4 linked regions of the Diceros bicornis minor genome follow. The protein of the gene in region 3 interacts with the protein of the main gene of each other region in a pairwise test. Links are inferred from orthologs where the notes say so. Each region holds a gene or a part of one and is shown on either strand. Other genes may lie near its edges.

The links.
Region 1: the proteins of COIL (region 3) and BYSL interact in binary tests that used the Homo sapiens proteins (3 or more experiments, as listed by UniProt). The link is inferred for Diceros bicornis minor from reciprocal best matches to the Homo sapiens genes COIL and BYSL.
Region 2: the proteins of COIL (region 3) and SNRPF interact in binary tests that used the Homo sapiens proteins (3 or more experiments, as listed by UniProt). The two-hybrid records come from large-scale screens. The link is inferred for Diceros bicornis minor from reciprocal best matches to the Homo sapiens genes COIL and SNRPF.
Region 4: the proteins of COIL (region 3) and NTAQ1 interact in binary tests that used the Homo sapiens proteins (3 or more experiments, as listed by UniProt). The link is inferred for Diceros bicornis minor from reciprocal best matches to the Homo sapiens genes COIL and NTAQ1.

Annotation. Positions count from the first base shown.
Region 1 is NC_080753.1:23,515,718-23,522,763, reverse strand, and holds the start of BYSL (bystin), read left to right. Parts: upstream 1-4,028; 5' UTR 4,029-4,317; coding exon 4,318-4,585; intron 4,586-7,046. Other genes in the region: MED20 (mediator of RNA polymerase II transcription subunit 20), read right to left, coding at 1,012-1,166, 3,775-3,788. UniProt on the Homo sapiens protein: Required for processing of 20S pre-rRNA precursor and biogenesis of 40S ribosomal subunits. May be required for trophinin-dependent regulation of cell adhesion during implantation of human embryos.
Region 2 is NC_080764.1:26,526,262-26,533,219, reverse strand, and holds the start of SNRPF (small nuclear ribonucleoprotein F), read left to right. Parts: upstream 1-3,954; 5' UTR 3,955-4,032; coding exon 4,033-4,035; intron 4,036-6,017; coding exon 6,018-6,143; intron 6,144-6,958. UniProt on the Homo sapiens protein: Plays a role in pre-mRNA splicing as a core component of the spliceosomal U1, U2, U4 and U5 small nuclear ribonucleoproteins (snRNPs), the building blocks of the spliceosome.
Region 3 is NC_080757.1:30,550,623-30,557,748, forward strand, and holds the start of COIL (coilin), read left to right. Parts: upstream 1-4,114; 5' UTR 4,115-4,126; coding exon 4,127-4,371; intron 4,372-7,126. UniProt on the Homo sapiens protein: Component of nuclear coiled bodies, also known as Cajal bodies or CBs, which are involved in the modification and assembly of nucleoplasmic snRNPs.
Region 4 is NC_080760.1:38,988,855-38,996,425, forward strand, and holds the start of NTAQ1 (protein N-terminal glutamine amidohydrolase), read left to right. Parts: upstream 1-4,563; 5' UTR 4,564-4,657; coding exon 4,658-4,746; intron 4,747-7,571. UniProt on the Homo sapiens protein: Mediates the side-chain deamidation of N-terminal glutamine residues to glutamate, an important step in N-end rule pathway of protein degradation.

The sequences.
Region 1 (7,046 bases), on a different chromosome or scaffold from region 3:
AAGATATGCTGTTATAAGAGCCAGGAACAAAGGCTGCCTTGCAGGAGCTAGAAGCAAGGAGGAGTCACAGCCATAACCACTGCCCAAAGCAGAGGGAGAGGGAGTGCAATACTGTGGTCTCCCTTTCTCCCATCCTCTAATCTTCCCCAGTGCCTCTCACTGACCCAAGGTAACTGAAAGGGGGCCTGGCAGTTGTAGTGTGCAGGTCAAGGGCAGGGATGAGATCTATGGGAAAAGAGGCAAATGACCGACATAGAAACAGTCACAGGTCATGGGACTTAGCTAAAGTTGCAGTTAGCAGAGCCAGGACTCAGTTACCTGGTTCCGAGATCTAGGCTCTTAATCACTGGTATGGAACTGTCCAAGGTCAAGTTACTGCAGAGCCAAGACTAAGAGAACTCAGGTTCCCTAAGTCATATTCAAAGATCCTCTTTGCCTCCCTACCACCATGACCATCCACAGCCCATCTCACCTCTCAATACATTTAAAACAAGAGATGATTCATTGGTCAAGGTTATGCTAATGAGGTAGCCAAGGCCACTGGCTAGGTGTGGGCAACAGGAAGCCTTTCTGCAGAAAATTCTGAAAACTCTAAAGCTCTACAAGAATCATATCCGAAGACTTCTGAGCCTAAAAGGAGACTTTCTCAAACTTCAGACTGCATAAAGATCATCTGGGAAGGTTGTTAAAATGTAGATTATGAGGCCTGTAGCACCAGTCAGTCGGTAAGCAGGGCCAGGAATCTGCACCTTTAACAAGTAACTCAAATGATTTAGTCAGTCAGTGACCAACCCTCCAAGAAACACGGCTTTAAGAATGCAAAGTGCAAAAAGACTAAAACATAGGCCCAGTCTAAGAGATGAAGGACCAAGAATTAATGAATTAAGAAACACCTGTGCCACACGTTTAAGAATACCACCTTTAGCAGAAGAACAGAAAGATTTCAATGAACATGAACATCTATCAACTCCAAGCCAGGTTCCAGCCATCACACAGACCCTTCTCACTGACCTTGACTGCCAAGGGTAGAGGCAGCCGTGTGGTAGGTCTCACAGTCCACACAAAATGTTCCTTGCTTCTCTGCCCCAAGCATCTCCAATTTCCTGGTGAGGAGCTCCACGGTCTGCTGGACACTCTTGCCCTCAGCGACAGGCATCTGGGACACACTGGAAGGGAGAGTACCAAACCATCAATATGCAATGACACATGTGCACTCGCTGAACCACTCACTCACAGAATCACAGCTCATCAGGGCCAGAAATTAACTTCGAGACCACTGACCCTGACCCCCTCATTTTAAAACAGAGGAAATAGAGGCCCACGGTCCCTGAGGACATCTCTCAGGACTCGCAGAGAAGTGCAGTGAACTTCCTATCTATCACACCAGCACTTCCCAAGCGTAGCATGAGAAAATTTTAGGTGGCACACAGACTGAGCCCTCGATAACACTGAGTTGTATAATGAGCTTTGTGATTCTTTCACTTCTGACTGTATGAAGGAGAAAGCCTCAGTTTGGGGATAGTGTATTTTTACCAACTCTACAACACTTTGAACGTGCACTGTCCAGTACAGCAGACACAAGCCACATGTGGCTATTTACACTTAAACTAATAAAACAAATTAAATTAAAAATTCAACTCCTCTGCTGCAACCACATTTTAAGGGCTCAATAGCTCAATAGTGGCTGGGGGCTAGGGTACTGGACACTGCTAATATACAACATTTCCATCACCACAGAAAGTTCTATTCGACAGCCCTAAGATCAAAAAGAAAGCAAGCCTCGAGTTTATAATCTTCGGGGATGAGAGGCAACAGTACGTACAAGAATTTAATCAAAACAATGAAACAAAAAACGTTATTTCCAAGATTTCCTTCTATGGTGAGTGAAATTGGCTTCCCCTTTAGAGGGGTGGGTAAAAATCACCAAGCGCAAACTATGTGCCAGGCAGTGTCCAAAGGCCTTCAGATGAATTAAGTCTTCCAATCCTCACAACAGCCCTATAAGATGTGCTATTATTTATCTCCTTGTTACCAATGAGGAAACTAAAGTACAGAGGGGTTGAATAACTCACACAAGGTCACACAGCTTGGTGTGCTGTAGCAAAGATTCAAAGCTAGGCAAGCTGGCGCCATGTCCACACTCTTAACCACCATACTGGACTGCCTCCCTAGGGACACAGTTGCCTGTTAAATACTTTAAAGGAAAATAAATAGATTTAAAAGAAAACACTAATAAATAATAGTAGAGCTGGTACTTGGCTATACAAAAGTCCTAAGGAGAATCATATGTGAGTGAATGTTGGGAGACACTGCATTACTTTAGGATCAGTCAACCAAATGAAGATATAAAAGTAGAGTCCTGACGTTGCTAATAATTGTCACTACTCTCCATAAGAAAAAGCACTGATAGGGCCGGCCCCGTGGCTTAGCGGTTAAGGGCACGCGCTCCGCTGCTGGCGGCCTGGGTTCGGATCCCGGGCACGCACCGACGCGTGGTTTCTCCGGCCATGCTGAGGCCGCGTCCCACATACAGCAACTAGAAGGATGTGCAACTATGATGTACAACTATCTACTGGGGCTTTGGGGGAAATAAATAAATTTAAAAAAAGAAAGAAAAAGCACTGATAAGCAATGATAATGATGTGCCTTATTTTGAAATATAAGAGACTCCCTAAACTGATGCTACTGAGGTCAGAAGTCCTAGGAGTCGGAGAAAGTTGATAATGGTCCCAAAAGAGAGCCCTTCCCTCTGTAGGCCTTCTCTATTGAAAGAACAGGGGCTCCAGGGTTCCAAGCCTCTGTGCTTCAAACTTTGCATTCCCATCGCTCACATATCCCCTTACACTAGAGAACCTGAGGAGGCTCTGATGACAACTGTAGGAAACAAAGGTGCAATCACCAACAAACCTCAAGAACCTGGGTTATCAGGAGGAGTAGTGCCCACAGGTTCTTATAGAAGAAGCCTACAGCCACTAGCTTCAGATATCCTGGCCTCCAGCCCTCTCTGACTGGAAAGATGTTCACACTTCCCGGTATTAAAAAAAAAAAAAAAAGCCCTGAAATCTAGCATTTTGGAACTAATGCCTCCAAGAGCATTAGGCCCACACCTTTCCCTGCCACCCAGACTTATAACATGTTAGAGCTAATAAGTCCATAAAAACTAGACCAACCATGTAATTAAACATAGTAGGAAGGGATCCTGAAAAGGTGACATGCCTGGAACCCCAATCTCCTAATTCCCAATAGCTTCTTTTTTACCTCTAGACAGAGAATCTTAAAATGGTCAAACTAGAACCAGATACAGGCTGGTCTAACTGCATTTAGCGGCTGTAAGGAGGAGCAGGCGAAAACCTAAAAAAGATACTGTCTCCTCCTTGCCTATCCCTCAACCCCTCCAGACCTGCCTGCAGATGGATCCTAGTCCGGACATCCTATTTCCGACCCTAAAGTTCCACCCCCAGCAGTACCACAGCCCCACGGGCAGGCATATGGACCAAGAAAAAACGAACGAGGTACACAACCATTGATGGGTTCCTGGGATAAAACCTTTTACCAGCCGCCTTCCAAGAGGAAGGGGCGCATCTCTGAGGAAACAGGCCCTGAGACTCCGCGACCCTCATGGTGTCCCCCTCACCCACACAATCCGAGGACATCTTGCTCAGCTCCTGAGGGACGGCGGACCCTGATCTCGCTCCTCCTCCCGGGTACAGTCCAGGCTCCAAGGGCCCCTTCACGACCCCAAGCCCCGCCCCACAAAATCCCTCGCACTCCTACCAAGTCACTCCCATGGTGTCGGGCCAGGAAGGTGGCAGGATCCAACAGCTGAAAGGCAGCGCTTTCTGGCCGCCCACGCTAAGTGAAGCCCCCTACCGCCAGGCTCGCTGGAGGGAGGTGCTCCGGAAATGACGCAAAAACAGAGCGCCCAGTCGACGCGCCCACGAGGAACAGGGGCTTGTCTAGGCGCCTCCTCGGTGACGCATGCAGTGACGTCACTGTCCGACCCTGGCCCAGGCTTGCCGCGGGAGAAATTCTCATGTGGCCGGGCCTAGATCCATGAAGCTAGGAAAGCGTGGCTCGGCCTGCCACCACTTAGAGAAGCCAACGTTAAAGGCAATGAGTTTATTCAGGAGTCCTGCTCCAGGACCAGTGAGCTCTTTTAGGGGGTGGGGCGTCGCTGATGGCACTCCCGGCCTCCGAACGCTAGGGAACGCTGTGATCGCCGTCTCGCCTGTTGGGCGCGGGGTTCACTGCGCAAGCGCAATCAGGGCTTTTTCCCGTCCCCACGTGTGAACCTTCCCGGCGAGGTTTTCGAGAAAAATGCCCAAATTCAAGGCGGCCCGCGGGGCCGGGGTTCAGGAAAAACATGCGCCCCTGGCCGAGCAGATCCTGGCTGGGGACGCGGTGCGGGCAGGGGCCCGGGAAAAGCGGCGGGGCCGTGGAACCGGAGAAGAGGAGGAAGAGTATGTGGGGCCCCGGCTGACCCGACGGATTTTGGAGCAAGCGCGGCAGCAGCAGGAGGAGCTGGAGGCCGAGCATGGGACCGGGAACCGGCCCTCGGTGCCGCGGGAGCGCACCACGCGGCTGGGTGAGTGGCGGGGGCTGGGTGCGAGGAAGAGCGCGGTTAATTGGAGTGGACGGCTGAAAGATGTCCGCCACGGGAATAACTTGCAATAAAAAATAAAAGGAGCGTGGTTTATATTACCACCTTGCAAAGGTAATGGAATGGGAGACCCAGCCCTGGAGCGAATTTAGGGTGGTCAGAACCCTCCACGCCCACTCATAGTTTTAGGCACTCCTTTCTAGGCACCCCCGAAGTTATGCCAACAGGAAGCGATTGCTCACGCTACTAAGTTTTCCTAGCATTTATCCATTTGTTCTCTAATTACTTATGGGATGTCTACTACGTGCTTCGCACTGTGCTAGTTTAGATGGTTTGGGTAAAGAAGTAAACAAGATAGACTTGTGCCTGATTTCAGGATATTAAAGTCTAGCCCAAGAGAGAGACAATTAAAATAATAATTGTAATATATTATTATAATAATATTACATTAATACTATTCTAATAATAATAATAATCTCAACGATAAAGAAAGTATAGTTTCTCAGATAACAATAGCATTAACCTTGGGGGTCGGGCTTCCCAGATTGCATGACCTTTGTGCTGAGACCTGAAAAACCAGTGCAGAGTGTTCTGAGCAGAAAGAACAATATTGTGTAGGGGCTAAAGAGGAGAGAGATTAATTAAAAGGTGGTCAGTATTTTTTTATTAGGGTGAGTGTTGCCCTCCGAGTTGCTTAATCCATTTCTCAGATCTCATCTTTCATTTGTCCGGAGAGCAGCATTTGACACAATTGAACACCTGCCTCCTGGCTGCAGTATCTTTACTTGACTTCTAAGACAGTGCATTCCTGTTTCACTACTTCTTCACTTCTCAATAGTCTTTTCTGGCTCCTCTTTTGTCCCCAGCCTCTTATCATTCAAGAGCTGCAGAGTTCAGTCCTTGCACCTCTTCTCGTCACTTCTCTGGTGCTGTCATCAGTTTCATGGTTTAAACACCATCTATTTGGTGACTTCTCCCAACTTTGTATTCTAGTCCTGCTTTCTTCCATGAAGCACAGACTCGTATATTTCAGCTGCCTATTTGGCATCTCCCATTTGAAGTCTAATAAGCATCCCGATTTTAACGTGTCCAAAACAGAAATCCTGACCTTCTCGCCAAACCTGCTTCTCTCACTGTCTTCCTCATCTCAGTCAATAGCATGATATCCTTCCTTTTGCTCAAGACAGAACCCCTGGGCTCCTCTCTTTCTTGGTCCATATCTGATCTGTTAGGGAATCCTGTTGACTCTACCTTCAAAATATATCCGGAATCAGACCACTTCTCACCACCTTGGAACACCATCCTGTTCAAGCCACTGCAATGTCTCGCCTGGATGATTGCAGTAGCCCCCTAATTTAGTATCCCATACCCCCTATAGTCCACTCACAGCTCAACAGCTAGAAGATTACAGCCGTCTACAAAGACCTGTGTGATCTGCCCCTGTTGTTCTCTTCACTCCACCCATATAGGCTTCATTCTTTCTTAAACATGGCGAGTTAGGGCCGTGGTTGTTCCTTCTGTCCTCATACGCCTGTAGGCTTACTCCCTTAGTTCTTCACCTTCTCAGAGAGGCCACTCCATTAAAAATGGCAACATCCCACCCCTGTCTCCACACTCCCGAATGTCTCTACTCTGCCCTGTTTTCTTTTTTCATAGCACGTGTCTTCTTTTAACCTAATATATATCATATTTATTCATCTGTCTCCCCCATTAGAATGTAAGCTCTGTGAGGGTAAAAAGTTTTGTTTCTCTTGTTCGCTAATATATGTTCAGCACCCAGAACAGTGCTTCACATATAGTAGGCACTCAGTGTTTGCTAAATGAATGGATTAATGAATGATGGTGAGGTAGGTAGGAGCCAAATCCACAAAAGACTTGGAGGCTGTGCTCAGGATTTAAAGCCATTCTAAAGACAGTGAGAAACTATTGGAGTATATGGAGACCAGGTAGGGGATTGTTGAATTAATCCAGGCAAGAGATGATGCTGCTCTGCTTAGACAGAGCTGTGAAGGATCTGGGAGATATTCTATGAGGTAGAATCGAATAGGACTTGGTAATTGATTGAGTGTTGGGGGTGAGGTCAGGGGACGAGGCAGGCCTGCTTCCCAGGTTCTGCCTTAACATTGGGTAGATGGTGGTGCCAGTGTTCCACATGTGGAACACAGTGAGTAGTGTAGACCTAGGAGGGAAAGAGAATGAGTTTGGTTGGTGACAGGTGAAGTTTGAAATGCCTGTGGGCCATCAACAGTGGCTGTACAGATGCAAGTGTACTTCCCATAATGAGCCAACATAAATTGTTGAAAAGATAAGATGACCCTTTTGTGAATTCTATGGAGGAAGAGGAATAAAGGTTGTTACAGGAAAAAAAAAAAAAAAAAGAGTGGCTGTACAGGAGGCAGCTGGAGTTAGAGTCTGCAAGGAAGGGAGATCCACCGACAAGTACAGA
Region 2 (6,958 bases), on a different chromosome or scaffold from region 3:
CTGACATTTAAATTTTTCCTCCGGGTCCATTTTATAGGGAACATGGGCTTGACACCATGGGAGGAATTTCTTTCCGATCACAGTAATAGAAACAACTGTGCTTTTCCTGAATAATTACAAAAATATATTATGGAAACTGGATCATGTAACCAATCATTACTCTTTGCTAGGACTCTATAGAGTTTAGAGATAAATGCGCAGCCCCTCAGTAGCCAGTGCATAAGGCAATATGATGTAGATGTCTGTATTCTAATGTTATATCTGGTTCTATTACTTTCCCTTCATCCTTCACTACTTCATTATTTCCTTTTGTTGTTTTTTATAGGCCACTTCAATCACTTGTAGAATAAAGCAGAAGATAAAGAATGTAGCTTAATATGAGAAAAGCATTCAACTGAAAGAGGCTATTCTGGGTCTATCTCTAACTCAGGTATGACCATACTTTCATCATCTACAAAATTAGAGGTTTAGACGAGGTATCTCTAGCGTTCTGTCCTAAGTTTAAAATTCAGTGATTCATCAATGCCGACTCAAGAACTGGAGCACACTTAGCTCCTAACCACAACACCAGGTTTCCTATGAGGTCTGATTCTCTCTCTACAATGGTAGAAAGAGTATGCGCTTTGAATCACCAAAAAGACTCGGATTCTAATCTAGGTTTAGAGGCTGTATGATTGAGGAAATTAATATATTTGGGTCTTAATTTCTTCACTAGACAAAATACCACGTCTCTCAGGTTTGAGATAATGTAAAGCTCCTACCAGACAGAGGCACTCAAATCTTGCCTCACTCCCACCCCTTTAAATCTACTCTGGCCATAACTGATTCTGACCATAATCATAGAAAAATAAAATGTTGAGATTACGGGAATAAAGAAAATGAAAGGATGGGGCGGGCCCGGTGGCGCAAGTGGTTAAGTGCGCGCACTCCACTGCGGTGGTCTGGGGTTCGCCGGTTCAGGGTTCACTGGTTCGGATCCCGGCGCGCACCGACGCACCACTTGTTAAGCCATGCTGTGGCGGCGTCCCATATAAAGCGGAGGAAGACGGGCATGGATGTTAGCCCACGGTGGTCTTCCTCAGCAAAAAGAGGAGGATTGGCAGATGTTAGCTCAGGGCCGATCTTCATCACAAAAAAAAAAAAAAAGAAAAGAAAAGGAAGAGTTCATCAATTTCAAAAGTAACTTTCTAAACTTTATCCCCCTTCATCTTGCATTTATATTTGTACTTCTATATATTTGTTTATTTGTACTCTACTCAAACACATTTTGAGGAGAGGCAGTGTAAAGGAAAAAATCTCAGGCTTTGGAGACATTTCACCTTCTACACAGCCTTCAGCAAAAATATATAACCCCTCTGAATCTGTCTCCTCATCTCGAAAATGGGGCTAATAATGCCTACCTGGAAGTGCTGTAGGATTTAAATAAGGTAAATTACATGAAATATCCTGGCATAACATGGCAGGCACTAAATATGTATTGGTTCCCTTCTTCTCAAAAAGGTTTTCAAGTTCCATGAGGGCAGAGATCACATCCATTTTATGCACCTCAGTAAATATTTCTTGGTCATTTAATCAACTACTTTTTAGATGTTTGTTTATCACTGGAAGTTTTGGGTTATATGCTGCGCAGCAGTAGAAGGCCTTACCGAAGTGTTCACCCTAATTAATAATTAGGGACCATTTCCCCAGAATGTGCTCAAAATGTAATCTATCTCATCTTCAGAAAATATAAACCCTGTTACTTCCTCCATATTAGAACCAATTATTCTGACGGGTATTCTGTTGAGCCATAGGGTAACATGGCAATATATATTTTTAAAAGCCTTTAAAATAATAATGCCTTTAACCCAGGAATTATATTTCTAAGGATTTATTGTAAAGAATCAAAGATACACTCAAAGGCTCGTGTAAAAGTATGTTCAAAGCACATTGTCTATAATGGGGGAAATGAAAACAGTAGAATGATTAATAAATTATCACATATGCATAATATAGAATAAAAAATGCATAAGACATTAAACTCCATTTTAGAAGAATAATTATATGAGAATTTGCTCAATATAAAGTGAAGAAAAGCTTAAAAACTACATGTAAAATCTTGTAAAAAAAAAAGTGCATGTGTTACAATAAATAGTACACCAAAAAAGTTGACAGTTGTTTTCTTTGATTGGTGATACTAGTGATTTTTGTTTTAGAACTTTCTATATTTTCCAAATTCTCACAAAACGTATGTATGGCATTTATAATTAGAAAAATACCAATCACCTTATGCCCACTTTATTTTCGATAAGGTAAGATTAATATTTAACATGAAGACAAAAAACGACTTTAAACACAACTATCATTACGTAGATTATGGTAATATTTTGTTTCACTTCATTGAGAAAAGAGCTAAAAAAAAAAGTCAGACTTCTAAAATATCTATTGATCTTTCAAAAGGCAGCTTTATGAAGCAGAAAAAGCCAAGAGTTTTCAGGTTGAAACCTAGCTGTGTGGCCCTGAGCAAGTTACTTGCTGACCTGTTTCCTCATCTCTAAAATGGGACCATAACCACCAAATCACAGACTGAGTAGTAAGATTTCCATTATAATAATTGTGAAGGACCCTGGCACATAGTAGGAACTCCAAGTCTGTACAAAGGCTAAATATTCACTAAACGATCCTGAACCAAGGGAAAAACCTACTGAACTTTGGGGTAAATAATCCCAACTGCTTGGCATAAACTACTCTAAAAGAAAATTACTGTGGTTGTCACTGTTCTCCTACATTTACATGGACAATATTAAAATAACAGTTAATATCTACTGAGCCCTTACAGGCCAAGCACAGTCCCAATCTCTTTCACATTAATTATTTAAACCTTACAACCCTGTGGACAGTACTAGAGTTTTTAAAGCCACGTACAACTGAGGAAACAAAAGCCTTAGGGGGTTAAGAAACTGCCCAACACCATCTCCATGAGATGGACGGACGTTCTGAACTCAGGCTGCCTCCCAAGTCTTACCCACTACTCCATATGTCTCGACACGCAACATTTAAATCTCAGTTCCAAATTCATCTCCTTAGGGCCGCAAAAGCAAAAACAAAAAACTTACTACTCTGAGCGCGCTTCTCCGAGAACTGCATTTAGCATTTCAGATCAGAGTGAGCTCAAAGTCTGTACCGGGGGGGAAAAAGAAGTGCGATTCTGACAAACAGCGTTACATCAAAAGGGTCGATTGGTGAAAGAGCAAACATCCCCACGTCCTTAATTACATATGCACATAAAACGCCTGTACCGGGTCTCCGCTGGCGATGCAAAAGGAACAGAGCGACAGGGAAACCACCACACCATATTCTAGACTCAATTTGCCCTCATTCTGTACTTGACTTTCTTCGGTGCGTTTCACCTCTCTTAGTCTGGTCTGGCTTCTCTCACTTCCTTTAAAGTGGTTGAAATGAGCATTACAGAAGAGAGAACAGTCAGGTAGACGGGGACCGTGGCAGAGGAGCCCCCAAATTATACAACCCGTGGGAAAGTGAGGAAGAAACTCGAGAGCCCCAAGTGTGTAAAAGGGGCTCTTAAAGGTGTAAAGGGACAAAGGAAACCCCCCACTGGCTTAGGGCGCGCAATTACGTCCTCTCTATAGGGTACAGAGCATCTCTCGGAAGAATCCTCGAGGCAGGTGACCAGAGGAGAAGCCCGGGCCGACCTCACTGCCTCTGCAGCCTCGCAGACACGCTCCCGGCTGAGTTCAGCCGCCTTTGGTTTCCCACAGGCCAGCGCGCCCCCGGGAAGGCCCAAAAGCGCGCCTTACTACTCGTTGCCAAGAGACACTGCCCAGCCACCTCCTCCAATCAGCACGCATCTCTTTGCGTCCAATCACAGAAGGTAGAAGAGCTGAAGTCGGAGGTGAAAGGTCACACTGCTGTTCGGCGGCCATTTCTTTTGAAGCTCCCTGGTTCGGCTATTGCCGTAGTTGCTGCAGTCACAAGGGACGGACGACAGCTGGGTCGGCGGCGAGTGGCCTGCAGCATTTGCCGGTAGTCGTGATGGTAAGGAGGAAGAGAACGCACGGAGTCGCCGGAGAGAGAGAGAGGGCGGGCGACTAGCCTCGCCGGGCCTGGTGGCTGGTTCGCGCGTTTCCCATTCATCCGCGTGAGGCGCCGCGAACCCGGTCGCCAGCCCTTTTCTCCCTGCTCCGGGGGTCTGAGGCGCGCGCTCCTGCCAATGCCTTCCCCTCCCCGGGAGTGCCCCTGTCCCCTTCCGTCTTTTCTTCGTCTGCAGCTGAGCCTGAGATATCTTTACTGCCTGGGGCCACAGGGTCGGGGTAAAGATGAAGCGGTGTTTCACGTCCCGCTTATCACACTCCAAAATCGGTGTTCTTTCCAGGATGTTGGGGCTTCCAGCCCCGCAGCCCTCAGGAACCCAGAACCCAGGCTTTGGAGCGTTCATTTGTTCGTTTAGCAAATAGTTATTGAGCGCATGCAACCTGCCAGATACTGTTCTAGGCGCTGGGAATATAAGGTGAAAAGTGCTGAAGCGGGCCCTTCTCTAGGTTAACTCAGTCGCGTGTGAAAGACAGACGTTAATCACATAATAACAGAAATATGTAATTGCAAATAGTGTTAAGTACTAAGAAGGAAGCAACAAACAGGATGCTGTGAGGGGGCGCGATGGTATATTAGAAGAGTGGTCAGGGATGGCATCCCTGGGAGGAGGGATTTAACCTGAAACCTAAATGATATGAAATAGCCGCTAAAAGAGCAGGAGGGAAGGTGTACCAAGCACGGGAAACGGGAACATAGGCCCTAAGGCCGGAAAGAAAGCTTGACCAGTTGGAGAAATTGACAGAAAGCCACAGCCGCTTGCAAGAATGGTGGTTATGAGATAGGGTCGGATAAGATCTCTTCAGCCTTATTAGGAGGGCTGGATTCTACTCCAAATGTAATTGGAAGCCATGGAAGTATTTTAAGCAGAGACATATGAGTGATACAAATAATACTTGCCGGGTGGATAATAAGTTGGAGAAAGAAGAGAGTGAAAACTGGAGACCCATTAGGAGGTTATTGCAGTAGTCTACGTGTCTTTTGAGATCACTGTGAATATGCTTATGGTAGACGGGTTTAGTAACCAGGTTTCTGGTGCTTTTCTTTCTTTGGGCTGATGGGTGAGCAGAAGAGTGAGGGAAGGAAAAAGGTGAATTCACTGGGGACACTATTGGTTTGCTGAATAAACATTAAGTGATTGCCCATATGTAGGAGGCACTAAGTCAAGTTAAGACCCAGTCCTAGTTCCTAGAATTCAAGTGAAATTTTGTCAAGTGTAATCTGCCCCCTGCTTCCTTCTGTAGCCTCATATTTGGGACTCTGACAATACTGAATTGTTTGTATATCCCTGAGATCACCTTGTTGCTTCACTCTTACCTCCTTTTGCATAGGCAGCCTCTTCTGCCTAGAGCAGCCCTTTTTCCCTCTGGGAAATACCTCTCATCCTTTTAAAATAGAGGCATTACTTATTTCAGGCAACCTTTCCTTTTCTCTTAATCCTAGATTGGTTTGGTACCTTTGTAAATAGCACATCACCTCTTACTACATTGCAGTACATATAATTGTCTATTTGTATGTGTTTTGCCCCTCCCTCTCCCACTGTGAGCTTCTTGAAGACAGGCAGTGTCATCTGCATTTCTTTCTTTCTTTTTTTTTTTTTTTTACTGCCTTTATCTTTGTTTCTTTATAGCCTGGAACATTGAGTGATGCATAGTAGGCATTCAGTGTTTCTTAAGTGAATAATGAATACTTTTATACTTTTATAAGTTTTGATGTGTTGAAGGTGAAATTGTCTTACTGGGTATTTAAATTTCTCTGATGCTCTTCAACAAATAAAAGTGAAAATTATGTAGTAAAGTGAGAGGGTGTCAAGAGTTTGCTTCATTTTGATACCTTCAAATATTGGTGATTTGGTAGAGGAGGGTAGGTAGAGGAAGCCGATCTAAGGAAAAATAATCAATTGAGTCTTTTTTTTGTTCTTTGTGCAGAGTTTGCCCCTCAATCCCAAACCTTTCCTCAATGGATTAACAGGAAAGCCAGTAATGGTGAAACTTAAGTGGGGAATGGAGTACAAAGGCTACCTGGTATCTGTAGATGGCTATATGAACATGCAGGTAAGCTAAAGAGTTATAAGATCATTAAATGGTATTTATTTTGCTTCATCTTACACCTCAAAGGTTTAGTGTGACTTAGAGGAATACAATCAATTAAATTGACAAACATAAAGCCAAATTTAGGAATAAAGTCAAGGCCAAGGAAGATGTTATAACTGTGATATACTATGTATGAAACATGGTGTTAAACCAAAATTCAGCCGCAGATTTGGCTCCTAGTGGTTAAAATAAGAAGAGCTCAGGCAATTGATTCACAGTGCCATAAGGAAAACACACTAGTTTGTGGAAAAAGTAAAACATTTCCCAGGACTTAGCTCTGAAAGAAATTTTTCAAGTGAAATTCTTTTTTTTTTTTTTTTTTTAAAGATTTTATTTATTTTATTTTTTCCCCCCAAAGCCCCAGTGGATAGTTGTATGTCGTAGCTGCACATCCTTCTAGTTGCTGTATGTAGGACTCGGCCTCAGGATGAACGGAGAAGTGGTGCCTCGATGCGCACCCGGGATCCGAACCCCGGGCCCACCAGCATCGCAGCGCGCGCACTTAACCACCAAGCCACAGGGCCGGCCCAAAGTGAAGTTCTTAAGTCTTTTAATAAATGCTTATGGCACAACATCAGAGTAATTCCATAAAAGCATTTCTTGAGGAAGAAGACAGATCAGCCAAAGGATAAACTAGCTTCTGTAATTATTTCAGCCAGGTTTTTTTCTTTTTATTGTGGTAAAATATATATAACATAAAATTTACCACTTTAGCCATTTTCAAGTGTACATCTGTCATTAAGTACATTCATATTGTTGTGCATCCATCACTATTA
Region 3 (7,126 bases):
AATGAGATACCACTAACATCTATCAGAATGGCTAAAATAAAAATATTGACAATGTCAGATGGTGGCCAGGATATAGAGAAATTGGATCACTTCATACATTACTAGTGGGAATGCAAAATGGTACAGCCACTCTGGAAAACAGTTTGGCAATTTCGTGAAAAACTAAACATGCAACTATCATATGACCCAGCAATTGCGCTTCTGGGCATTTATCCCAGACAAATGAAGACTTATGTTCACATAAAAACCTGTAAATAAATGTTTATGGCAGCTTTATTTGTAATAGCCCCAAACTGGAAGCAAACCACCTGTCCTTCAACAGGCGAATGGTTAAATAAACTGTGGTTCATCTATCCTATGGAATACTACTCAGCAATAAGAAGCAACAAACTATCAATACACACACCAACCTGGATGAATCTCCAGAGAACTAACCAGTGAAAAGAGCCAATACCAAAGGTTACATACTCTATGATTCTACTCATATAACTTCTTGAAATGACAAAATTATAGAAATGGAAAACATTGTGGGTGGCTATAAGAGAGCAACATGAACCATCATTGTGATGATGAAATTGTTCTGTATTTTGACTGTGTTAATTTCAATATCCTGGTTATCACAGGGGGGAACTGGGTAAAGGGTACATGGGTTCTCTCTGTGTTATTTTTTACAACTGCATGCGAATCTACAATTATCTCATATTAGAAAGTTTAATTAAAAAAAGAAAGCAAATAGCGGGGCCGGCCCGGTGGCGCAAGCGGTTAAGTGCGCGCGCTCCGCTGCGGCGGCCCGGGGTTCGCTGGTTCGGATTCCGGGTGCGCACCGAAGTACTGCTTGGTAAGCCATGCTGTGGCGGCGTCCCATATAAAGTGGAGGAAGATGGGCACCGATGTTAGCCCAGGGCCGTCTTCCTCAGCAAAAAAAGAGGAGGATTGGCGGATGTTAGCTCAGGGCTGATCTCCTCACAAAAAAAAAAAAAAAAAGAAAGCAAATAGAATCATACAATTATCCTGTTTTGCTCCTTGCTCTTTTCTCTCATTATATCTTAGACCCCTTTCCATAGCAGTGTATATGGAACTACCTCAATAGGGATTTAACTGACTGAATTATGATGCATCCATACAGTAGAATTCTACACAGTGTTTTATGGATGTACACTAATTTATTCAATTAAATCCCTACGGATGAGCATATACTTTGTTTCTTTTTTTGGCACAGATGTGCCAATCTTCCTCTCTTTTATACATAGGACACTGCCACAGCATGGCTGGTGAGTGGAGTAATGTCCGCACCCAGGATCTGAACCAGCGAACCGGGGCCGCCAAAGTAGAGCACGGAGAACTTGAACCACTGCGCCACAGACCAGCTCATTACTTTGTTCTTGACTCTTGCTGTTACAATGTTTCAACAAACACTGCACATGAGTCTTTGCACATCCCTATTAATCTCTCCATAGGATAAATGCCTAGAAGTGGAATTGCTGGGTCAATGGGTACATGCATTTATAATTGAGACAAATGTTGCCAAATGACCCTTTAGAGACCCTCTAAATGACCTCTAAAGGGTCCTATAACAAAAAATAGATTCCTTTCTAGAAATTTTTGTATCATGAATATTGCAAAATACAGACAAGTACACAGTATCGTGTACCTACCACCCAGCCTTATTAAAATAATATGAACACTTTGGTTCTGACTCTTAGATTAGACCTGACTTAATCAGATTAGATCTAAGATTAGACTTTAGATTAGATCTAACTCTTAGATTTATAGTTTGGATGTAAACTGTTGTCCTCACTTCAGGTCCCCGTAGTAGGTGGAAGGGTGGTGTTTTTACCTACTTTTAGGGAAGGAAACATGAATAACCAGGTAAGCACTTAGAAGCCACCCACTGCTTAGGGAATTTTGCATGTTTTGGAGTAGCAGTTTTCAGACTGGGGGTAAATATGTCCTGAGGAGTACTCAAACAGTTTCCAAGGGGAGGCAGGCATTGATGGTTTTAAGAGAATCAAGTTCCACATTCCCCTCTTTCACTAGACTCTTTCCTAAAGCTAACTGCCTGAGAATACGCCTGTTTCTGTTCTCCCAAAAGAAATGCATCTCCCCCAACCCGTCTACACAGCCTCACTGGAACCTACTTCACTTGTTTATTTGTTTCTATCAGGTATTATTAAATTTAGATTAACTTTAGGGAAAAATGTAGTGGATTCTACTGTAAATAATGCACACAACAGCAATCATTGATATATATAATTTAGTAATGCCCCGAACTTGAGAAAACAGCCTAATTTTATTGGGATTAACCCTTCTTTCTTAAATGTTGATATGCTCTTCCAATTCTGTAAATGCATATTTATAAACATCACTGATATCAACTATCAGATTAAATTGTTAATCTAAATAACAGTTCACAAGTGTTCAGTTTTATCTATCTGTCATGAATATACAGGTCTTTGATAACAATCCCTACTTTTATGGAATTGTCATTTCTACCCCAGTTTCATCTAATTTTAGCTCCATAAACCAGGCACTTCTAAATCTAAGAGTAAGTAGTATAATAATCACTTAAGTCTTAGGAGAGCCTTCCCAGATATTGAGAAAGCGAATGACCCTAGTGACTGGGTAAACACTCCTTTTGAAAGTCAGGTGATTCTTGATTCTTTGTTTTTAACATTATTGAATCTAACTGAATTGTTGGCTGATGGAGTACTGAAAATAATTTTTTTTTTTGAGGAAGACTGGCCCTGGGCTAACATTTGTGCCCATCTTCTTCCACTTTATATGGCACGCCGCCATAGCATGGCTTGACAAGTGGTGCGTTGGTGCGCGTCCGGGATCTGAACCAGCGAACCCCAGGCCACCACAGAGGAGCGCGCACACTTAACCACTTGCGCCACAGGCCTGGCCCCTGAAAAGAATTTTCAAAGAAAGATCTCTAGGTGATTTTAGCATGTAACTTGGAAGGAGTTTAAGAAATTGACTAATGTTGCCAATAACCTAAGTCCTTCCATTCTTAACTACTTACATAAATGAACAAGTTTTCTCAGGACTTTACATCTATAAAAACAAAAAATAGGTCCAGAATTGATGTGGATCCCTGTCTCATTCAGCTATATTCATGCACAGAGACTTGGACTAATTAAAAAAAAAAAACACAGCTCCACATATTTCATTAGGAGATATGTTTCCATGCCCATTTTATTTTCCTTATTTAATAATTATGCACCAAAATGTGCGAAGTTTTATGCTATTTTTATCAATTGTGTACCACTAATTATAGTAATGATAACTCAATCCAAAAGACCTAGAGCATTAGGGTCATGGTAAAACAAAACTTAAAAAAATTTTTTTTCAATATATCTACTGACTGCAAGATATTAGCCACTTACTAGTCCAGTGACCTTGGGGAAGTTACTTAATCTCTCTGATCTTCCTTTTTTTAAAATTTTCAAATGGGAATAATACTAGTTCATAATTCATACCTTTGTCATGAAAACTTGGAAGTGTTAACATATTATGTGGGCAAATGGCATGGAAATTCAAATGACGTAAAATTTCTGATTTACTTACCTACAGGTTAATAAGAGCTCTTATTTTTATATTTTAAAATATGGATGGTGGTAGGTATTAAACTGCTAAGGTATTTAAATTCCACTGGCTAATTTAAAAGAGTGATTAATGGTTTTATTTTAAAATGTCAATATTTGCAATATGCTAGGAATTACATCTTTTGCAACTCTTGATGATGAGAAATTGTGTCAACTAAATGTATGGGGAGTTAGTGTTTTTTGGAATTCTTTTACATATATAAGCAAACATCTTAGAAGACCATTGCTGAGAAGTGCTAAGAAGCACTACAAACCCAGAGAGTTGCCGAAATTCAGACCCTACGTAGTGCTGAGTAGGAAAGAAAGAAAGGCACTATCACATTTATACGCTTCCCTAGCTTTGTCGTGAACAGAATTGAATCAACCCGGCCCCGCGTTCCTGCCCTTCACGAAGGCTGTAGTAGCCACTTGCCACCGATAGGTGGCACACGTTAAAAGGCTCCAGGGGGGCGGGCCGCCCGAACACGCCTCTCTGTAGCCCTGTGGTGTCTCTCGGCTTCCGTTGAGCATCGAGCAAGATGGCAGCTTCCGAGACGGTTAGGCTACGGCTTCAATTTGATTACCCGCCGCCAGCCACGCCGCATTGCACTGTCTTCTGGCTTCTGGTCGACCTGAACAGATGCCGAGTCGTCACGGATCTCATCAGTCTCATTCGCCAGCGCTTCGGCTTCAGTTCTGGGGCTCTCCTGGGCCTCTACTTGGAGGGGGGGCTCTTGCCCCCCACCGAGAGCGCACGCCTGGTCCGGGACAACGACTGCCTTAGGTGCGCGCAGGGTGGGCCGGGCGGCGGGCCGGGGACGCGCGTGCGCATGCCCGGGGGCGCCTGGGCCCTTGGAGCCCGCGAGGGGGTGGAGGAAGGGGTGGGGGTGGGCATGGGGTGGGGCTGTCAAATTGTATTCGTGAACCAAGAGATTCTGATTAGTCTAGTCAGGTCTGGGGCTCAGGAATATGCATTGTAACGGCCTTCTTTCTCCGGGATGCTTCTGATGCAGCTGGTTGGTGGACCAAACTTGGAAAACCCCGGATCTTGTGTCTGGGCAGGGCGCGTGTTTCTTAAAGCTTGATTTAGGAAACCATCGCTTAGCCAGGCGCTGTTTTACTTGCGCGTGATGCAGAAGTGCCTGAGACCCGGCCTTCCCTTGGCGGCTCGCAGGGTCAGGTGCAGGAGACCCACGCAAACCGAGGAGCAGTCGTGTTTTCTTCATAACGTGCAGGTTGTCCATCCTTATGCTCCTGGATAGCCCCTGAGACTTCTGATGGTTGTCATTCTGTGTCCCACTTGGGCGTTTTGTGGTTCACTTAAATAGGTGTTGGGGACTTTTTGGGTTGTGAATTGGGAAACAAAATAGTTTTAAATATGCTTTTGGAAATTTTTAAAAATTGTACTGAGATGAGTATCGAGGAGCAGTTGTGGTATGAATTGCCCGTGTGTGGTTGATTTGTCTCAATAAAATGGTAAGACGTGATCATTTCAGTTCAGATGCATATCTTGGACTGATTTATTCAGGGCTTCTTTTTAAAGCTTAAGCTACAGTGAAAAAATTCTAGAGTTGTGAACCACGCTACTTCCTCTTGCTTGCTCTTTGTTGAATATTCCTTTCCCCAGAGCATGTCAGATTCATAAGAGTTCTTCAGAACATCAGGGAATTTAATTGGAACAATTACTACATCTTTGAGTGTGTGTGTCTCTCTCTTTCTTAAAATCAGGAATGCTATGACTTATTAATAATGTTTAGCTGTTTCTAATGACAATTTGAAATAGTCCAAATTTCATAAAGAGTTCTTTTTCCTTTTTATTCACTGTGAAATAGATTTCCATTTTCTTTGCAATTCAGGGACTATTTAAATATTACAGTTGTAAGGGCTGCATCCTCTCCTATCAAGTGTACTTTCTGAACTATCCCCTGCCTAATGAATTAATAACTTGCTGCTAGCTAACAGCAGTTATACTTCAATGAATCATCTGGGCATCATACTCTTTATAATGAAATTAACAAGGTCAAAAGCGAACTGTGGAAGCTGTTTTAAGAAATACATACAGCACAATGGCAGGCAGAATTCCTCCTAAACATTTCAAGTGCACAGTTGCATATGGCAAGAAATACCTCTGCAGCTGGCTTCAGTGGTAAATGGGACAGAACTTAGGAAAAAATTGAATTTGGACAAGTTTTGTATGTTTTTGCAGTGTCGTGTCCCCAGTCATTTTCTGTCTTCCCCCGACAGACTCACTTTTTTTCAGAACAGAAGAAAACATATTCTCTTTTCTCAAAGGTACCTAGTGTTGTTGTAGCAGGCGAAAATAACTAGTTTCTTGCTTCTGTATGTTATCTTGTGTGATGTCGGCAGTCGGACTGGACAATTATACTGGGTTATGCTGCTAAGTGCAGAAAATGGTTCAGAAAGGAGAGATCGTTATGGAACACAAATGGTCAGGAAATTTAGCAGTACCTTGAAGAATGGGTAGGAAATGTTGGATGGCCTAGTTGTGGAGGCAAAAGCTAGCCCAACTTGGTAAAGAGACGAGTCCGACCAACAAAAGGATTCCGTTGGGACTGCTGGGAGTACCGAGAGAAGCCTGATGAGGAAAGGGGGAGCCAGGTTGTGGGAATCCTGAGAAATAACCTGAGAGGGTCAAGAGGCATCTCCACACTTGTATGCCAGGGCCTTTTCCTTACAGCCCATTCTCTTAGGCCCCCAGACTCTGACTTCCTCTGCTCCCAGGCTGCTGACAGTGAGCTCCTGAAGGTGGTCTCCAACTCTCCTGGAAGGAGGAAGGGCCCGCATTTTGCTTGAAGCGCCCGTGTTAGTCTGGTAGGGCTGCTATAACAAAATACCACAGACAGGGTGGCTTAAACAACAGAAATTTATTTCTCACAGTTCTGGAGGCTAGAAGTCCAAGGTTAAGGTGTTGGTAATTTCATTTTTTTCTGAGGCTTCTGTCCTTGGCTTGCAGATAGCTCCCTTCTTGCTGTGTCCTTACATGGCCTTTCCCTGTGCATAGGCATTCCTGGTGTCTCTGTGTGTCCAGATTTCCTCTCTTATAAGGAGACAGTCAGATTGGATTAGGGCCCACCCTAATGGCCTCATCTTAATTTTATCATCTCTTCAAAGGCCCTGTCTCTAAATACAGTCACGTTCTGAGGTACTGGGGATTAGGGCTTCAACATGTGGATTTTGAGGGGACATAATTCAGCCCATAATACCCCCTGAAGAGAGCTTCTCAGAGGCCTGGCCACAGCAACTAGTTGGGAGAGCAACCAGCTGGAGTGGAGATCTCTCTGTTGAGTCATTATGTCAGGAAACAAAATGCATTCTCTGTTTCACTCTTTTGAGTCTCTGTGGCACTTAATACTTGATTAAATATTAGACATGCATTCTCATTTCATTTTGCTGTAATTAGTAGCTCTTTGGATAGCCAGTCAAGCCCCTCTGAAATGTCTGTGAGGGCTGGCACGTCTGTGGGGGCTGGCGCGTCTGTGGGGGTTGACATGTCTGTGAGGGCTGGTGGTAGGAATTAA
Region 4 (7,571 bases), on a different chromosome or scaffold from region 3:
CTCTGACTGTGAGAGCCACTTCAGTGTCCTTCCTGGTAAAGGAGCTGATAAACAGCCTTTCTGCCTTCACTTTTAATCGAACAAGTCAGGACTAATAAAACCGGGCCAGCTGTTTTTTGGAATCAAATTATACTGCTTGTGCTATAATCCTATTCCAATGATCAATTAATTTTTCCAACAACCTCCTCGAAATGAGGTCCATTTGGCATGAAATGGGCTCGGTAAACCACTAAGGCCCCCTAAATAATCACTTTTTCTTCGTGGTCACAAATCCTCCTGGGAATAGGCATCAAGTTCTCCAGGGTATAGTGTCTGGAATACATATTTTTTTTCCTTTTATGAAACTCAAGACAGCAAGTAGTCGTATTTATTCAGCCTTATGTCATCTCCTCCATCATTTTCTCAAAGATCCATAAGAAAATCTAAATCTATGGATTTGGGGGTCATAATCTAAAGCACTTTCAGTACACTGGGATATAACTCTTCTGGGTCTGAAGATTTTTAACCCATTTAAGGCAATTTCGTGCTTTCTACCGCTGTACCCGTCTTAGTCTTAATTTCCTCTTACTGCTATTTTCCTTATTCATTCAAGGTTGAGAATCACTTTCTTTGATAGACAAAATGCAAGCAAAACAGACATTGGGTATTCTTGTTTCCTTTCAGTTGTCTGATCACATCATATCATATGGTCCCAGGCAATGGGATTATCTCTCCCTTTTTCTTCTAGCTCTTAATATTGAGCATTGAAAATACTCCCTCCTCCGATAAAAAATAAACCCCCCTTTTGTTATTAAACCTCGGTGTATTATGTGCTGTAGACTTCCTGAATCTCCTCTTTCACATCTGTGGCCCCTTTTTATACTTTCTTTTGTTATGTGTTCCTCCTACTCTAAACTCCTGCCCTTTAACATCCTAATTTCATTGGGTATTGGCTTCCTTGAATGCATCTCTTCTTTCTTCCTCATCCAGATCACTGGAGTTTGTAGGTCAAAATCTGGTTCTAAGCACCTCCTACTCCTCTGAAACCATATCCCTTTTTATAGTCTCTACTATGCCCTGGTGGTCCAGTAGTTAAGATTTGGTGCTCTCACCACAGTGGCCTGGGCCTGGGTTTGCTTCCCAGTCAGGGAACACCACCACCCGTCTGTTGGTTGTCATAATGTGGCAGCTGCGTATTACTATGATGCTGAAAGCTATGCCACTGGGATTTCAAATATCAGCAGAGGGTGCTGGCCCGGTGGCATAGTGGTTAAGTGCGCATGCTCCGCTTTGGTTGCCCAAGGGTTCGCAGGTTCAGATCCCAGGTGCGCACTGATGCACCGCTAGTCAAGCCATGCTGTGCCGGTGTCCCATATAAAGTAGAGGAAGATTAACCAGGGCCAATCTTCCTGGGCAAAAAGAGGAGGATTGGCATCAGATACTAGCTCAGTGCTGGTCTTCCTCACACACACACACACAAAAATACCAGCAGAGTCACCCATGGTGGGCAGGTTTCAGCAGAGTTTTCAGACTAAGAGAGACAAAGAAGAAGAACCTGGCCACGAAAACCCTATGAATAGCAGTAGAGCATTGCCTGACCCACCTGGAATGTGAGAGGATGGAACAAAACGACCAGGTAGGGTGCCACTCTGCTGAACACAGGGTCACTAGGAGTCACAATCGACTCCATGGCACTAACAACAACACAACCATGAAGTCATATGAATATTTAAAATATGATCTATTTTTTTCAATTTAAAAAGTAATTCCTATTTATAAGAGAAAGTTTAAAGCATAAAGAAAGCACATTATGGCAGAGACTGCTGGCTGCCCTGTACCCCCTTCTCTATTGCTTGCCCCGCAACTCCAGACCACCTCCACCCTGGGTAAACCAGTGAACTTCTCTGCTATCTGGGAGCCAACCCATGCCTTCTCCAACGAGGTCCAAACCGCTTTCATATTTGCCCTTTTTTGTTTTTTTTTTGGAGAGGTACATATATAGGTGTTTTTTTGTTTTTTGTTTTTTGTGAGGAAGATCAGCCCTGAGCTAACATCCATGCCAATCCTCCTCTTTTTGCTGAGGAAGACTGGCCCTGGGCTAACATCTGTGCCCATCTTCCTCCACTTTATATGGGACGCCGCCACAGCATGGCCTGACAAGCGGTGCATAGGTGCGCACCCAGGATCCGAACCTGGGCCCCCAGCAGCCGAGCGTGTGCACTTAACTGCTACAACACGGGGCCGGCCCAGTACATATATAGTTTTATCAAGCTTTCTTTATTTTTATTGTGGTAACATTGGTTTATAACATTGTGTAAATTTCAGGTTTACATCATTATACTTCTATTTCTGCATAGATTACATCATGTTCACCATCCAAAGACTAATTGCAATCCATCGCAAATACACATGTTCCTAATCATCCCTTTTGCCCTCCTCCCTCCTTCCTTCCCCTCTGGTAACCACCAATCCAATCTTTGTATCTATGTATTTGTTTGTTGTTGTTTTTATCTTCTACTTATGAGTGAGGTCATATGGTATTTCACCTTCTCCCTCTGACTTATTTCGCTTAGCATAATACTCACAATGTCCATCCATGTTGTCACAAATGGCTAGATTTCATCGTTTCTTATGGCTGAGTAGTATTCCGTTGTGTATATATACCACATCATCTTTATCCATTCGTCCCTTGATGGGCATTTAGGTTGCTTCCAAGTCTTGAATAATGCTGCAATGAACACAGGGCTGCATGTATCTTTATGCATTCGTGTTTTCATGTTCTTTGGATAAATACCCAGCAATGGAATAGCTGGCTCATATGGTAGTTCTATCCTTAATTTGTTGAGGACTCTCTATACTGTTTTCCATAGTGGCTGCACCAGTTTGCACTCCCACCAGCAGTGTATGAGAGTTCCCTTCTCTCCACATCCTCTCCAACACATGTTGTTTCCTGTCTTGTTAATTATAGCCATTCTCATTGTAGTTTTGATTTGCATTTCCCTGATAGTTAATGATGTTGAACATCTTTTCATGTGCCTGTTGGCCACCTGTATATCTTCTTGGGAGAAATGTCTATTCAGGTCTTTTGCTTGTTTTTTAATTGGGTTGTTAAGTTTTTTTGTTGTTGATAAATTTGTCCTTCTTAAGTACTCTTCACCAGCCCTAGGTACCATATAGAGTTTCCTTATATCTTATAGCTACACTTATATCATAGTTACTTCTTTTGTTTTGTTTTGTTTTTGCTGAGGAAGAGTCTCCCTGAAGTAACATCTGTTGCTGATCTTCCTCTTTTTTTGCTTGAGGAAGATCCCTGCTGGGAACCCAACCCAGGCCAGGGAAGCAAAGGATGCCAAACTTAACCAACAGGCCACGGAGCCACTTGGCTGGCCCCTATCATAGTCAACCCCATGTGGAAGTGTGTATTCAGAGCTGAGATGCAATAAATCGATAACCAACACGAGGATTTATGCTCAGTCTTTAGGATTTATGTACTTTAGAACTCACGAGACTGAAGAGATCTGTAGACAGCCTATAAACCAACCTAAGAATTTCAGTTTTTATAATGGGAAGTACCCTGATCAGCTATATATGACCTTTGCAAATATAGGCAATTCAGAAGGCTATAAAGTGAAAGTCCTCCATACCATTCATTCACCAGAAATAAACACTGTTTTAACAATTTGGTGTCCTTCCTCCCAGACTGCCAGCAAATAAACAAATACATGATTAACACAAAATGGATACCACGCGACTCTTTTTCAACTTTTTTTTACTTACTATATCAAGGAAACAACGTATCTTTCTGAGCCAGTACGTACAATTTTCCTATTTAAAAAAATGTTACAATACGGCCAGATTTTGGGGTGATAGCCTTCTCTGAAACCGCCCTTGATGAGGAAGTATTTGGAATTAACCTCCCCGCTCCCTCCTCCCTCCCCAGCTCCCCGCGGACTCTAGGCTCCAAGCGCTCAAGCGTCGTTTTTCACACACAAGGTTCGCTTATTTCACTCGCACACGTCGAGTCTTCGGCGTCTCATCCGGTTCCTCCACAACTGGCAACCCGCCCCAGGCTGGAAGATGGGTCTCAGACTCCTCCGGGAGACTCACGAAGTGCCGTGCAGGGTCCAAGGGCTTACCAACTCCAAGCCCTCCCCTGACATTTCTCCAAGCCACCTGCCACTGACCTCTCATCTCCCCCAGCCGCCCGGACCCTCCCGGTTACCGACACCCCTAGCACTGCCGGCCCCGCCTCAGCAGGCACCAGCGCCGCCCCGCCCCTGACTCCACCCACCTCGCCGGGCTCCGCCTACTCGAAACACGCGGTCCTCCTGGTCCCGGGCTCCGCCCACTGGGAACTCACGCCGCTCACCCACCCCAGATCCGCCCACTTCGCCCTGGCTCCACCCTTCCGGAACCTGCGCGGTGCGTCCCGCCCAGGCTCCGCCCTCCGGAATTTGCACCGCCCGCCAGGGCCTCGCGCGCGGGGAAATGCGCCGTTCGCCCTGCCCCGGCCCCGCCTACCCCGGGAACTGCAGCAGCGGCCACCCCCCCAGGCTCCGCCCACTCCGCACCGAGAACCCGCGCGGGCTGCTGTACGCTGGCTCCTCCCCGAGGCCGGCCAGGGGGCTGTTCCAGTCGGTCTGCCTTTAGCGGGTGCCCCGACCCAAGCTAGCCCGCCATGGAGGGGGGTGTCTCCGCTGCTGCAGCCGCCCACTACCAGCCGGCCAGCCCCCCGCGGGACGCCTGTGTCTACAACAGCTGCTACTGGTGAGGGGGCGCGGGCGCAGCCCCCGCATCTCCCGGGCTCCCTCGGCCGCGCTGTCGCAGCCGGGCCCCGCCTCTTCCCGGCCCCTCCCCGGGGGCGCTCGGGGCCTCGACTGGCTGGTTTGCGGTTTGAGGGGAGGAGGGAGCGGGAATTGCAGCTCTCGCGTCTGGAGCAGAGCGTGGGCATTTGGATTGGGGGGCGGATTCGCCAGGCGTGGTAGGGTCGGTGGTGCATTACTTCTGCCTGGCGCTTTTGTCTGGGACGTTTCTCAGCAGATCTCAGCGCTTGGGGGCCAGGAAGGGGAGTTGGAGGCCGAGGGTGGAGCGCGGAGAGCCTTCGGAAATTAACTCTGTTGCAGCCTGTGTGGTTTCACATTGATGTGAAGGTCATTTTAATTTTGAAAAAGAATGGGGGCACGGAGATTTTGCAGTAACTTTGCCAAGGTCACCCAGCTAGGAGCAGCCAGGAATCCAGTTCGGGACCTCTTGTACCAGAAACCGTGTTAACCACTATGCTGTCATTATGATAAAGGTTACACTTAGACATCACTTGCTGTATGCCAAGCACTGTTCTGAGTGGTTTGTGTAAACTAATTATTTGAACCACAGGAGCCCCTAGGAGGTAGGACTACTGTTATCTACCTTTTCAAGATGAGAACACTGAAGCACAGAGGGGTGCAAGTAATTTGCCTACGGACATAGCTAGTGAGTGAAGGAATGGGGATTTACATGCAGAGTTTGGCTCTGGGGTCCACACACTGTACCCTTGGTTTAGGCTACGTCTGTGGCAGAGGCACCCCTCCTGCCTTGGTCCTTTTTGCTCCCACACCTACCCTTCTCTTGCCTGAGTATGACTTCTTCCCCAATTTCCAGTCCCTGCACAAGAAACCTTAGGGGCATCTAAAACTACTTTTCCCTCCTTCAGCTGGTCACCAAACCAGTGCCTCCAAGAGCTTAATATTTGTTCAGCTCTGACTGCATGTAAGGAAAGGCCTAGTGCCAAGTGCTTCCATGCGTGCCTGGGAGATAGGTTCTGTGACTATCATTATCCTCATTTTACTGATGAAATGACTGAACCACAGAGTGGCCTGTTGTTTGCCCAAGATCACACATCTAGCAAGTGGTAGTGCCGAAACCGGAACCTCCGCAATGCTCGAGTCCATGGTTCTGCCCTGCCTCTCACCTAAATCCTATTAGCTCGTGTCCCTAATGTCCATGCATTGTTTTATTCATTCATTCAATAAATGTTTATTAGGCACTTGGAGCGTGTGATGCATGATTCTAGGCACTAGGGATACAGCCGTGAACAACCAGACAGATTCCCTGGTAAGATCTCATGGTTCTTAGGTTTTGCAAACAAAAACATGTAAGCCATATTTGGGTGGTGTTAAGTGCTATGAGAAAAATAAACCAAGGTGAGGGATGGTGACTCATGCTGATTCATACAGTCATAGACAGAATGAATGGGCAGGGCTGTGTTCTAGTGAAACTACAGTATTAGGGTATTTAAGGAAGACATAGTTGATAAGGTGATGTTTGAACAGAGAGCTGAAGAGGAAGAGGGCGGGAGCTTTGTGGATATTGGAGGAAGATCATTCCAGGTGGGAGAAGCAGCAGGTGCAAAGGCTCTGAGAAGGAAGCGTGCGGTGAGTATTCTAGGAACACCAAGGAGGCTGGCACAGTTGGAGTGGAGCGATTGGTGGAAGAATGGTAGGAGATGAATGTCTCTTACATCATCTCCTTTTCATTCCTTCAGCCATAGGCCAGGCCCTCCTCAGCTGTCGGGGCCTGTTCCAGTCCTTCCTAACAGGCCTCCCTGCCTAGCTTGCCCTTATCCCGTCAGGTCTTTAACTTTAGCTGGCTTCACACTGCTCAAAGCCGTCCTAAATTTGAATGTGGTAGAGAATCACCTGGCAGCTTGTAAAACATGTAGCTCTTAGAGTCCCACCCCAGAAAGTCTGGATGTGGGAGCAGCACAGTGGAGGGGTCTGAATCTAGTCTGTTGATCACATTTCAAGGAGTACAGACATAGACAATAAAGTTTATCACCTGAGCATGGCAGGCCCTCCAAGATCTGGTCACCATCTGTTCCTCCAACCTCATTTTGAACCTGCCTTTGCTGCTCTACCCCAGGGTTTCTCAACCTTGGCTCTGTTGACCTTTGGAGCGTGTTAATTCTCTGTTGTGGGGGTCTCTTCTGTGCATTGTAGGATGTGTAGCAGCATCCCTTTCCTCTAGACACTAGAGGCCCATAGCACTCTCTCCCAATTTATGACAACCAAAAATGTCTCCAGACATTGCCAAATGTCACCTGGGCAGCAAAGTCACCTCTCATTGAGAACCAGTGCTCTGCCCTGTCTGAACACATCAGATAGGTACACCTTACTGTGTTTGCTCTTGTGGGTTCTTCTAACTTGAAATAAATGCCTCCTCTCTACTTCTGTTAGCTTCTGTCAGATGCTGCTTATCTTTGAGAGACGCCCAGCTTAAGGACAATAGTGGTAGCTAGTATTTGTGTCACACTGTGTGGTTTGCAGAGCACTCTGATTCTGTTGTAATTGTTTTGTATTTTTCAAACGTTTGTTGAGCACCTCCTGTGTGCCAGGGATCCTCCCCTTCTGCATACTTCTCTGACCTCAGCCCATCGCCAGTAACCCTTGCAGAATCTCAGCTCTAATGCTGCTTTGTTAGCCTTTCTGCTACCAATATAATCAACTGACAGGTTGAGACATTATCATCATCACCCCCCGACTTTTTTTTTTTTTTTTTTTTTTTTACCGGTTAAATGGGTACCAGAACTGACACCAAATCTGGGAACAGTGACTCCC